3 linked regions of the Zea mays genome follow. The protein of the gene in region 2 binds, or shares a complex with, the protein of the main gene of each other region. Links are inferred from orthologs where the notes say so. Each region holds a gene or a part of one and is shown on either strand. Other genes may lie near its edges.

Region 1 (3,757 bases), on a different chromosome or scaffold from region 2:
AAATCTTGTGCTGGCTGCAGCGTGCGCCTTGCGCTGGCCTGCACCTTGTGCTGGCTGCTGGGCGCCTACACGCTGCTAGCTGCTGCAGGTGTGTCGGCCATGCACGCTGGTCCGTGGCCGTGTCCTGCGTGGCGGCGTGGGTGCACAGTGCGCTGCCCGTCAGGCTTTGTGATGCGGCACTGGCACTACTGCAGTGTTATGGCACGGATGGGGGCCAGGCGCGCGTGTGTGCGGCACTACTGTTTGGTGCTGGTGTGCTGTGGCGACATGGCTGCGTGGACGAGATCGGGTGCGGGTGCTAGATGCCACGGTTAGATGGAAGGCTGTTACCTATTTTTGTTGGATTTTATGGACTAAAATTATGATATGATATAAGTATTATTGGACCGGGGCCGCCCCTGGCCACAAGTATGTGTAAATTGTACATTTTAATGGGCATTTACAACAGTGGCATTTTTTTATTTTAACCGCAAAATGATGCTAGAAACTTTTCCAGTGGCTGTTTGCCTTTGGGTTGAAAATCATTGGCATCTCAGCAGGTGTCTCTAAATTAATTGACTGGCTGGACAGCTGATTCATATGATATTTTGGGTTGTGATGAGTTAATATGACAGTTGGAATTTTGGGTGATATTTCATATTTTATACCTTTTTGGCTTCAATGTTTGATTTACTACCTTTCTTCCTTTTATGATTAATGAATGTACAATTGTACATGCAGAACCTTGATAGGATTAAGTGTAGGTTGTTGGAAGGAACAAATGCCCAAGATGTACGGGCACTTGTGTTGGACATGCAAGCAAGATTACTTCTGGATATGCTAGGCAAAGGAATCGAGTCTGCCCTTACAAATCCATCAACTCTGCTACCTGAGCCCTGGCAAGCTTCCAGTGATATGTTATCCAGCATCGATGCTGACAAAATGACTGTTGAGCCAGCTCTGCTTCCAAACATCCAGGTCAAGCTGTCTCCTTTATGCAAGTTGTTTCTATTTCATAGCCATGGAACTTAAATTCAGCTATCTAACATTCTTTCTTTCTTTTTACTGACTTTATTCTTTTAAGACTTGCTACTGAGCCGTTTTTTTTCATTTTATAAAGTAGTGAGCAGTATATTGGTATGCTAGATCACTTCCATGTAAACGGTACTTTAGTTATGTTGGTGAACTCATGTGCAATGTCTGTTATCCTTTGCCAAAACTGGTGTATTACAGCCTTTTAATGTTGAGTATTGTATAAATTTCAGCACAGGTTATCTGCATAGGGATTCTTTATGTTACTAGGAAATAGCTTATTTTATTTGCATTCAAATGCAGGGTTACGTTGATGCTGTTCTTGATTTAGCATCACATTTCATAACTCGCTTGCGGCGTTATGCGAGTTTCTGTCGAACTCTGGCGAGCCATGTGGGGCCATCTTCTACCACAGGCACTTCTAGAAATATGGTTACAAGTCCAACAAACAGTTCTCCTTCGCCATCAAATAATCAAGGTTAGCTATGCCTGCTAGCTTGCTAAATCTTGTGTTTTTCTCTTGTTTGTGCGCAAAAAAGTACATCCAAACCTTATGTTTTCTTCATTGCAAATTTGAGGCTTAAAGTGTTGTTTATTTAGTGCTGCTAGCATCTTGATGCTCCTTCAAATTTCAGGTAATCAAGGGGGATCAACATCTGCAACAGGGAACTCACAAATGCAGGAGTGGGTCCAAGGTGCAATTGCTAAGATTAGTAACAATTCTGATGGTGCTGCCACTGCAACACAGAATCCAATGAGCACGAGGACATCATTTATGCCCATCAGCATTAATACGGGCACTTTCCCTGGCACACCTGCTGTGAGACTTATTGGGGATTGCCATTTTCTTCATAGATTATGTCAATTACTGCTATTTTGTCTGCTTTTCCGAAGAAGGCAATCACCAAGGTTACTTGCCAGTTCGCAAAAAAATCAAGATTCTGCCATGCAGAAAATACAACACATGATGAATGCTAAGACAGAAGATAACAGTTCGACAGTAAGATCTGGTCTAGGGGCTGCCAAAGTAGAAGAAGGTCACTCTGCGCGTGGTGGACAATTTGTTCTTGGTGGTGCAAAGGGTCCTGAAGAAAATCCAATTGGCAAATCTGTTAGAATAGGTTCTGGCAACGCTGGGCAAGGTTATACTTCAGATGAGGTGATTATCAAATTCTTGACAAGATATAGTATTTTTTACAGAGTTTAATATTGAGTTATACTAAGGAAACTTTGGGAGTTAGTGCTACCAAACTGGGACTGATCGTTGGCATTTGAACTTTGGGAGTTAGTGTGAAGAAGCTGACGATGTGCCAAATGCGCTGGAAAACTGGTGACCTGAAGTCCTGAACATAGTGATTAGTTTGGAAACAACTATGTTTTGGCTCCTGCATTTCTTTGGAAATGTCTAGCTTTGGTTGCTATGGGAGAACACATGTCGATATAGCCATCATAGAGTGCAATTGCGTATGTAGGTTATTTTGGACCCTTGATTTAAGCAGTTTAAAATTTTGTCCAGCCTAGCATGAACAACAGTTTGATTGCATATGTCGTTCATGATCTCTATTGAGTGATTTATCAGATGCTTTACAGATCTGTCTTTCTATTCTTTGGAAGATTTCTTTTTGTCTAGTTTATCTAATTATCTCTGTAATTTTATTTCATTGTTGGTAGGTCAAGGTCCTTTTTCTTATACTGGTTGACCTATGTCGAAGGACATCTACCTTGCCGCATCCATTGCCTGCCTCTCAGGTTGGTTCCAGTAGCATTATCATAAGGCTGCACTACATTGACGGCAACTACACAGTGCTCCCTGAGGTAGTGGAAGCGTCTCTTGGTCCCCATATGCAGGTACTAGTCAAATTCTCATGGAAGTTTCTAATGGTCGCTTTCGTACTATTTGTGGCCATTTTGAGCTACCAACATCTATCAATTATAGGAGTAGAAGTTGATTTTCAAGTGCACGACTCAGAGATATTGCAAGTCTTCCTGTTTCGAACTGAATTCAGGACGACCACCTTTAAATGTTGATTAGGATTCTCTTAGCAGAAGTTATCTTTTTTGTATTAGCCATTTTTTATAGAAACATGCACTATTACTGCCAGGGCCTTAGACATGGCATTTTGAGTGATCCCTCGATGCCTACTTCCCCATCTATTTTCAATATTTCATTGTTTCCTATGTCTGTAACTCTGTAGAATATGCCTCGTCCACGAGGAGCTGATGCTGCTGGACTTCTACTTCGAGAATTAGAACTGCAACCTCCTGCGGAAGAATGGCATAGACGCAACATGTTTGGTGGACCCTGGTCAGAACCAGATGATTTTGGTCCATTGGACAATATGCCTCGTCTAAAAATTAGTGGTTCCATCAACTCTCATTTGTCTGACATGGAAGTGGATGCTGTCAGTTCCATTGGGATTGATCTTTGGCCAAGAAAGCGTAGGTTATCTGAAAGAGATGCTGCATTTGGTCTGAAAACATCTGTAGGTCTTGGAGGTTATCTAGGTGTCATGGGATCTCGAAGAGATGTTGTCACGGCTGTGTGGAGAACAGGTCTCGATGGTGATTGGTACAAGGTGAGTATGGTTATGGTCGCTTTACCTTTTGCTGTCAAGTCTGGGTTCATAGTTCCTTGACGAGTTCTTTATTAGAGAATCCTGGTTACTCCCCTAATATACTTCGATGCCTAAATTTGTTGTTTCTTCTTTCTAGTGCATACGTTGTTTGCGGCAAACTTGTGCATTTG
Region 2 (3,091 bases):
GCCTAGGAGGCTTTAGCCTCTTGTAATTCTTTCTTTCTTAATCAAATGACATGTGGTTCTCCTGCGTAGTCCGAAAAAAAAATCATTCTCCATATCAAAGGCCATGACATCATCAGTAGTAGTGGCAGAGTTAGTGCTCCTTAAGCAGAAGAGGTAGGCAAACGATTGCTTTGATAGACTAAATCTTGTATTTATCTTAAGAGTAGGTGCATATGTCAGCACCTTACATTCTTAGCTCCCTTTAGCACCTACATTAGCATAATAGCATCTACTTTAGCATATATATCTGCATATGCTGAAATCTCTTAGTTTTCAAGTTTGCTTCGCTACTTCTATATATACCTAAACCTGCTATGTTTTTGCGTAATGGCTTAAATGAAATATAAAATCTTGTCCCAAAACCTGTGTCTATCCCTAGCATGCTTTGCCAATAAGCAGCCGGTCAAGAATGAGGTATGGATCCAACTGTTGTGACATGTGGTGTTGTGAGGTGGAGTAGATAGGGTCTATTTGGACCTAAGTGGCACACTAAGTTTAGGGACCAAGATAACAAGCCGAGACAAGCCTCTGAACCTAAAAATAACATTTTAAAAAACTGGGACCTCGACGTCACACAAAGACAGGCTTGAGGACTTAAAAATGCATTTTCGGAGTTTGGGACTTGAATGACACCCTGGAAAATATATGTAAATTCTGACAAAAAATGCTGGAATGATGCTAAATGATGAACATAAACTTGCAGCAGTTATTGAGGTTGCATTGCAGGTACAGCATATGCTGATCCAATTCGAAGTGACTAACACCTTGCCATACAAAGCTGTTGACTTTAAATTTAGACCACTTACAAGCTCATAACGTAAATCTAAAGTAAAACTGAGACTAGCTCAGATAGTCAAGGACAGTGGATGTATCTCTGGGGCTCTGGGCCACACAAGTTCAAGTCCTCATCAAGGCAAATTTCGGTGCATATTCTTTAATTATTAAATTAAAAACACCTTGTTCCTTCAAGGTTGGTTGAGCATTTAATTTAAAGGAAAAATATACCACATATTTCTAATTTTGGAGTAACTGCAAAGAGAAAACCGAGTATATACCTTCATGAACAAAGGTCGAGCAAAGGCTAGACGAGGTAACAAGGGACCCAATATGCGGAAGGCGATTCTTAACATGGCAACTGAATTGACTGGCCGAAGGTGTTTGATGACAGTATGAGTAGATTCCAGCCACTCTTGTGGAAGATTGCTAAAAAAGGAATGCAGAAGGGCAACAATGTTACCTGCAACCAAAGCACAAACGACATAAGACATAATTGAGGCACTAGCATATTAAGTTAGAGTGCAGATTTTGCGCCATTGATAGCTAAAACACCAAACTGCAATGTTCCAAAAGTCAACATAAAAATCATGTATGTAATACACATAAAGTATAGCCACAACAATTCAGTTTGAAATTCATCCTAGATGCCAAGAAATAAAATAGACAAGCAGTCAACCTGACACTGTTCACCATGTGTTGATAGTGACACTTCTATTTTTTTAATCTCAACATCAAAGATGAATTTCAAACTGATTTATTGCGGCTACACTTAACTTTAGGTCTACTACATACATGATTTTTGTGATTATTTTGAAACATTGCAATATGGTATTTTAGCTAACAAGGACGCAATATAATTTTCCATTAAGTTAACTCTGATCTGATCCAGCTCATAAGACTAAAGAAAAATGTTCTACCAATGGCTGTTGATGTATTGTCTTGGGAAGCCCATGTAGGATCCAACAGTGCATATCCAACAGCAGAGTCAAGCTCTTTAACAGGCCTGGAACCATCAGCAAGCCACCAGCAGTCTTTTATGACTCGAGCTGCTTCTGAGTATAGTTGCATGTGGAATTCTGGTGGGAGTTGTGCCAGCAGAAGACCACATGCTTGAATCATCAAAACAGACAATTGTTGGCAGGAGTAACCACTCCTAGAAACAAAGTTAGTGGCATTGATGCCAGTTGCAGCACTGTTCGCTTGGTTGGGACCTGAGGATTCAGCAGCCCCTGAAGGAGAAGTTGGCAGCCCAGAACTTTGCCCCAAACCACCTGACATTCCTTGGCCACTATTTGACTGTATAAGTATTGCTTGTACATGTGCTATTATTTGGACCAAAGAGGACACTATTTGAGCAGCAGGCACAGGAAGTGAGAGAATCTCAATAGCTGCTGTTTCCAAAACAAGCTGTGTATACGACCCAGGATCCTGATTCTGATAAAATGCCCTCTGGCCATCGGTGTTACCAACTCCACCAGGTTGTGAAGATGCATGATGTTTGTTGAAAGTCGAGCGTGTTGTGTCTGCTGGGTTTGATTTCGATTTGCTACTTAAAGGAGGTATAACATTATTAACGAGGTTTAGCAACAGGTTGGCAAAGTATTCTGGTGGTGGACATATTGAAGAATTTGATGACACTAAATATTTAGCAAAAGATTCTGAAAAGGGGGTCTGGAAAAAGCTCATAGTTAGCAAGTGTTAGGCACAAAGTGTTACAACTAAAAAAGTAAATAGGTTTACCTTAGTGCTAACACCCAGCAGGTTGAGGATCCTACCAATTAGTTTGATTGGAAGATGACCATAGAAATACGCAAGAATATCACGTACAAATGTAAATCTTAGCGGGTGGAAGGCAAGCAAGGAAGAATAGAATGCAAGAACTCTGTCTGCAATGTCAGTTGCATCATTCTCAATAAGCCTATAAATAATCAGTGGAATAACAGGAAGCAGACGTGCAGCAATGTCATCGAAGAAGGGTGGATAGCTGCATCAACAAAACTAGAGGACATCAAGATTCTATTACCACCATTGAAAACAAAACAATATGTATCTCAGAAGAAAACCTCACTTTCTGTTTGGTAAGTTGACAGCCAATAGTAGCTTTATAGTTTTGGAATAGGTGCAGCATATATTACAATAATTAGTTTAAAGCTGGGTATAAATGGACAAACAAGCACTGACCACAGATAAAATAATCCTAATATGAAACCATATTGGCCAAAAACATGACCAGAACATCCAAAATATCAAATTGATCAGACAACCAAATTAATCT
Region 3 (3,657 bases), on a different chromosome or scaffold from region 2:
AATTCAATTCTAATAATCATAATTTAGACACAAACTAATTAAGTTAATATATTTGTATATGTAATATATTTATATATTATCCTAAATCATATGAGAGAGATAGTTATAGATACTTATGCTATAGAGAAGCAAGTAGAAGAGTGTGCTATAAGCAGTACATTAGAAAAGTAGCATTTAAATCTATAGAATTAATTTCTATCTCTCACCCCATGAATTTGAGATAGGCTTATATATAAACTTTGAAGAGTTGTGAAATGTCACGTTCTTAAAAAATAGCATACTCCATTATTTAGATTCCAATTCCTCAAAATGAAAGGAAACAAACGGGGCCTAAGTGAAATAGCCAATTGTTTAATGTTCAAAGAAAAGAAAGATGAACACCATATCACCAAAGTTTTTTCAACTTTTTCTAACATGTAAATTTATAGCCTACTCCATTAGTTAGATTCCAATTCCTCAAAATGAAAGGAAACAAACGGGGCCTAAGTGAAATAGCCAATAGTTTAATGTTCAAAGAAAAGAAAGATGAACACCATATCACCAAAGTTTTTTCAAGTTTTTTCTAACGTGTAAGCTTCACCATCGTGAGCAAAATGGACTGATGCCCAAAAATGATGCAAGGAAACTAACACGCAGACCATCATTATCATACTTATATTTCATTGCATCCTTATTATCTGGGAAATTAGCAATTTACATAGGTGTTATGACTGGAAAAGTATATGGGCGCCGACCTAAGCAGCCAGGGGAAGATAAGCTAGGCTGAGCAGATAAGTACTCAGATAAGATAGCTAGAGTTGTTTAGATTTTCCTTAAATAAAGGTAGTTTGTTTAGATCCCCTTAAAAGGAGGAAGTCTTGTTAGGTCGGGCAGTATATAAGCCCTCTATGCCTCTAGTCTGTAATCAGGAAAGATCAATCAAAGAAAGAGATTGAGTCTTGCCTCCCTGCTGTTCTCAAATCCATTGTTGCACCTGAACCCTAGGCCAGGCGTCAGCACGGCATCCTCTCACCCTTCTTCCTCCAACCATTAGCCACTCATACAACCTCCGTAGCCGGGGCAATCCTACCAACCTGGTATCAGATATGCCAGGATCTGATGAAGCTGAGACTGCAGCTTCCGTCGCCCTCCAGCCGTCGGAGTTGGCAGCGATCACCACCGCCCTTGCCGAAGTCCAGCGCCAACTGGGGCTCTTCGCCACGCAGATGGCCTCCATGTCCTCCCGCATTGCCGTGGTTGAATCCACCCTAGGAACATCGGCCATGGCACCGCCACCAGACTGCCCCACGGCATGCCTGGATATGGCGGACACCCACCGGCCATGACAGCGGCCGATGGCCACCTCCCACCACCACCCATCAAATCCATTGCTGCGCCTGAACCCTAGGCCAGGCATCAGCACGACGTCCTCTCACCCTTCTTCCTCCAACCCTCCAACCATTAGCCATTCATACAACCTCCGTAGTGGGGGCAATCCTACCAATAGGTTATTGGTAAATGATAATAAGTGATGATTACTTATGCATACTCTATAGATTATGGGACAAAGAAAGGCAGAGCTTTTGATCAAGGTGTTTTACTAACTGGCCAGAATTCAAAATGATGCGAACAAAATGTTCACATTTTGTCAGTCAAACCATAGCTTGGCAAATCACATTGTGGCATATATTGGAACAATTATCATGTACGTGCAGAGTAATTTACCAGCTATGAAAAGTAATTAAACAACAATATAAGAAAATATGGGGTGTATTTTCAAATGCAAGTATAGATACAAATAGATGTTTGCTACCGGGTCGAACTATAAAACAACTTTTTACATAGAGAACTGGTTAACAACAAAACAAACCAATGGAATAGACGATAGTAGGAAAAATGGCAAAACAAAGCACGATGTCGACATCATGCTCTCACAACAACAAAATTCAAAATATGAAAAATGTTGAGATCTTGAAAGGTGAAACAAAATCTTTTAACTGGTAACTTTTGGCCACGAAGAACTCATCATCTGAAAAAAAAAATCCAAACAACATTAACTTGTTAATACCTTCAATGCTTCAGCAAGACCTTCACAAGTAGAAGCTTCACTGAATCCTCCACCACTGAACAATATTCCAGATAACCATGATAGGAAAGCATCGACATCTTTTGTCCATCCACTTCGCTGCACATCAAAAGCTGAATTGCAAAATGTTCACAAATTACCTATTTCGTAGAGTTCATAAGAACTGATATGGTCATGGACATGAACAATATAAACGCATACCACTGTAAGGTCCATGGGTATGAAAAACAACTAATGCAAGTTCAGGCGGAGTACCCACAAGCTTCTGCAAAAAGGAAGTTCGGGTTATGCATTGACACAATTAGTGGAATATCATGTGCAAACTGAGAGCTCAGATACTAAATGGATCATTAGGACAGAATTACCTGGCCTGGCAGTTCACTTGCACAAAAGCTCCTGCACAAGTTTTAATTTTCACCATGAATCAGTTACCAAAAATTAAAATGATGCATTTGCATAGCACAATCGCGTGAAAAATGAATTACGAAAGTGGTATTGGAACTGGAGTTCAAACCATTGACCAAGATTGCTAGCATGCTAATCAGACGATTTTCTTTAAAAACAAACAAATTTACAAATATATTTAGATTATTGTACATCGTTGAGGATTGTTGTGGCATGACACGCCTAAGCCTTTCCTCCCCTCCCCCCTAGCGCCCCTACCTCCAACAGCCTCACGTCAGTACTTACCCCAAGTCCGGCGGCCACAGCCAACCTCTACCCTGCGTCGGGGATCTCCCCTTCTCCCTCTTCCTCTCTGGCCCCTCGTCCTGTTGGCCGCTCTAAAGCTCAACGCTGGTGTGACGACGTGGATCTTGTTCCTTCTCCTCTCCAACCTCGCCGCACGTTCAAGAGGTGCTTGTCTCCTCCGGTCCTCCTGTTGCGAAGGATGATGAAGGTTGTGGGTTGACGATCTCTTCGCCAACGCCCCCTCTTTTCAACTCCTCCCAGAGCATAGCCTATCAACTTGCGTGGGAAGTGTTTCAATTGCTTGTCCCCATCCCATCGTGTTGATGTGTGTCGTCGCCCAGTGAGGTGCTTCCACTGTCGGCTTCCTGGGCACCGTATTTACGTGTGCCCGCACCGATGGGAGGCGTCGTCCAGTCCAGCGATCCCTAGTGTGGTGGCCTATCGTCCGACCTTCCCTCCCTGTGGCGGCCTCAGTTTGCAACACGATTGGGTCGTTAGGATGATCAAGTGCCAGTTCTTCCATAGGTGTCGAGCAGGCCTGTGAAGGTGATCGGGTGTAACACCCCGTCCACTCCTAGATCGGCAATACTTACTCCTGACAGCTCCTTAGGACCATAGACCGGTAATACTCAGTCCTAGCGGCTTGTGCCTCGTTCCCGAGCTGACAGCGCCTTCAACAGGGTCTTCAATTCAAATGTCTCAAGAGAACGCTTCAGTTCCTGCCACCTTGGGTTTCCCTCTTCCAGATGGCCCTGTGATAGCTACCTAGTCCTTAATTGCGATCTCTTCGTTATTGAAGTTCTTTAATCTTGTGCCCTCGATCCCTGTGGGTCTTGTTTCCGAAGCATCTCATGCGCCCATCCTTTCTCCAGAGATTGATTCGGGTGCCGCAGTTGACCAAA

Evidence for each region.
Region 1: Mediator of RNA polymerase II transcription subunit 23 (region 2) and uncharacterized protein LOC100216950 share a complex: the UniProt entries of both Arabidopsis thaliana proteins name them as parts of the mediator complex. The link is inferred for Zea mays from reciprocal best matches to the Arabidopsis thaliana genes AT1G23230 and SFR6.
Region 3: Mediator of RNA polymerase II transcription subunit 23 (region 2) and mediator of RNA polymerase II transcription subunit 25 share a complex: the UniProt entries of both Arabidopsis thaliana proteins name them as parts of the mediator complex. The link is inferred for Zea mays from reciprocal best matches to the Arabidopsis thaliana genes AT1G23230 and PFT1.

What each region holds. Positions count from the first base shown.
Region 1 is NC_050096.1:232,623,730-232,627,486, reverse strand, and holds the start of uncharacterized protein LOC100216950, read left to right. Parts: upstream 1-921; coding exon 922-957; intron 958-1,314; coding exon 1,315-1,489; intron 1,490-1,646; coding exon 1,647-2,170; intron 2,171-2,682; coding exon 2,683-2,859; intron 2,860-3,206; coding exon 3,207-3,587; intron 3,588-3,723; coding exon 3,724-3,757. UniProt on the Arabidopsis thaliana protein: Component of the Mediator complex, a coactivator involved in the regulated transcription of nearly all RNA polymerase II-dependent genes.
Region 2 is NC_050100.1:213,163,137-213,166,227, forward strand, and holds part of Mediator of RNA polymerase II transcription subunit 23, read right to left. Parts: intron 2,801-3,091; coding exon 2,557-2,800; intron 2,488-2,556; coding exon 1,734-2,487; intron 1,277-1,733; coding exon 1,095-1,276; intron 1-1,094. UniProt on the Arabidopsis thaliana protein: Component of the Mediator complex, a coactivator involved in the regulated transcription of nearly all RNA polymerase II-dependent genes.
Region 3 is NC_050097.1:178,597,687-178,601,343, forward strand, and holds part of mediator of RNA polymerase II transcription subunit 25, read right to left. Parts: intron 2,462-3,657; coding exon 2,431-2,461; intron 2,331-2,430; coding exon 2,267-2,330; intron 2,179-2,266; coding exon 2,048-2,178; intron 1-2,047. UniProt on the Arabidopsis thaliana protein: Component of the Mediator complex, a coactivator involved in the regulated transcription of nearly all RNA polymerase II-dependent genes.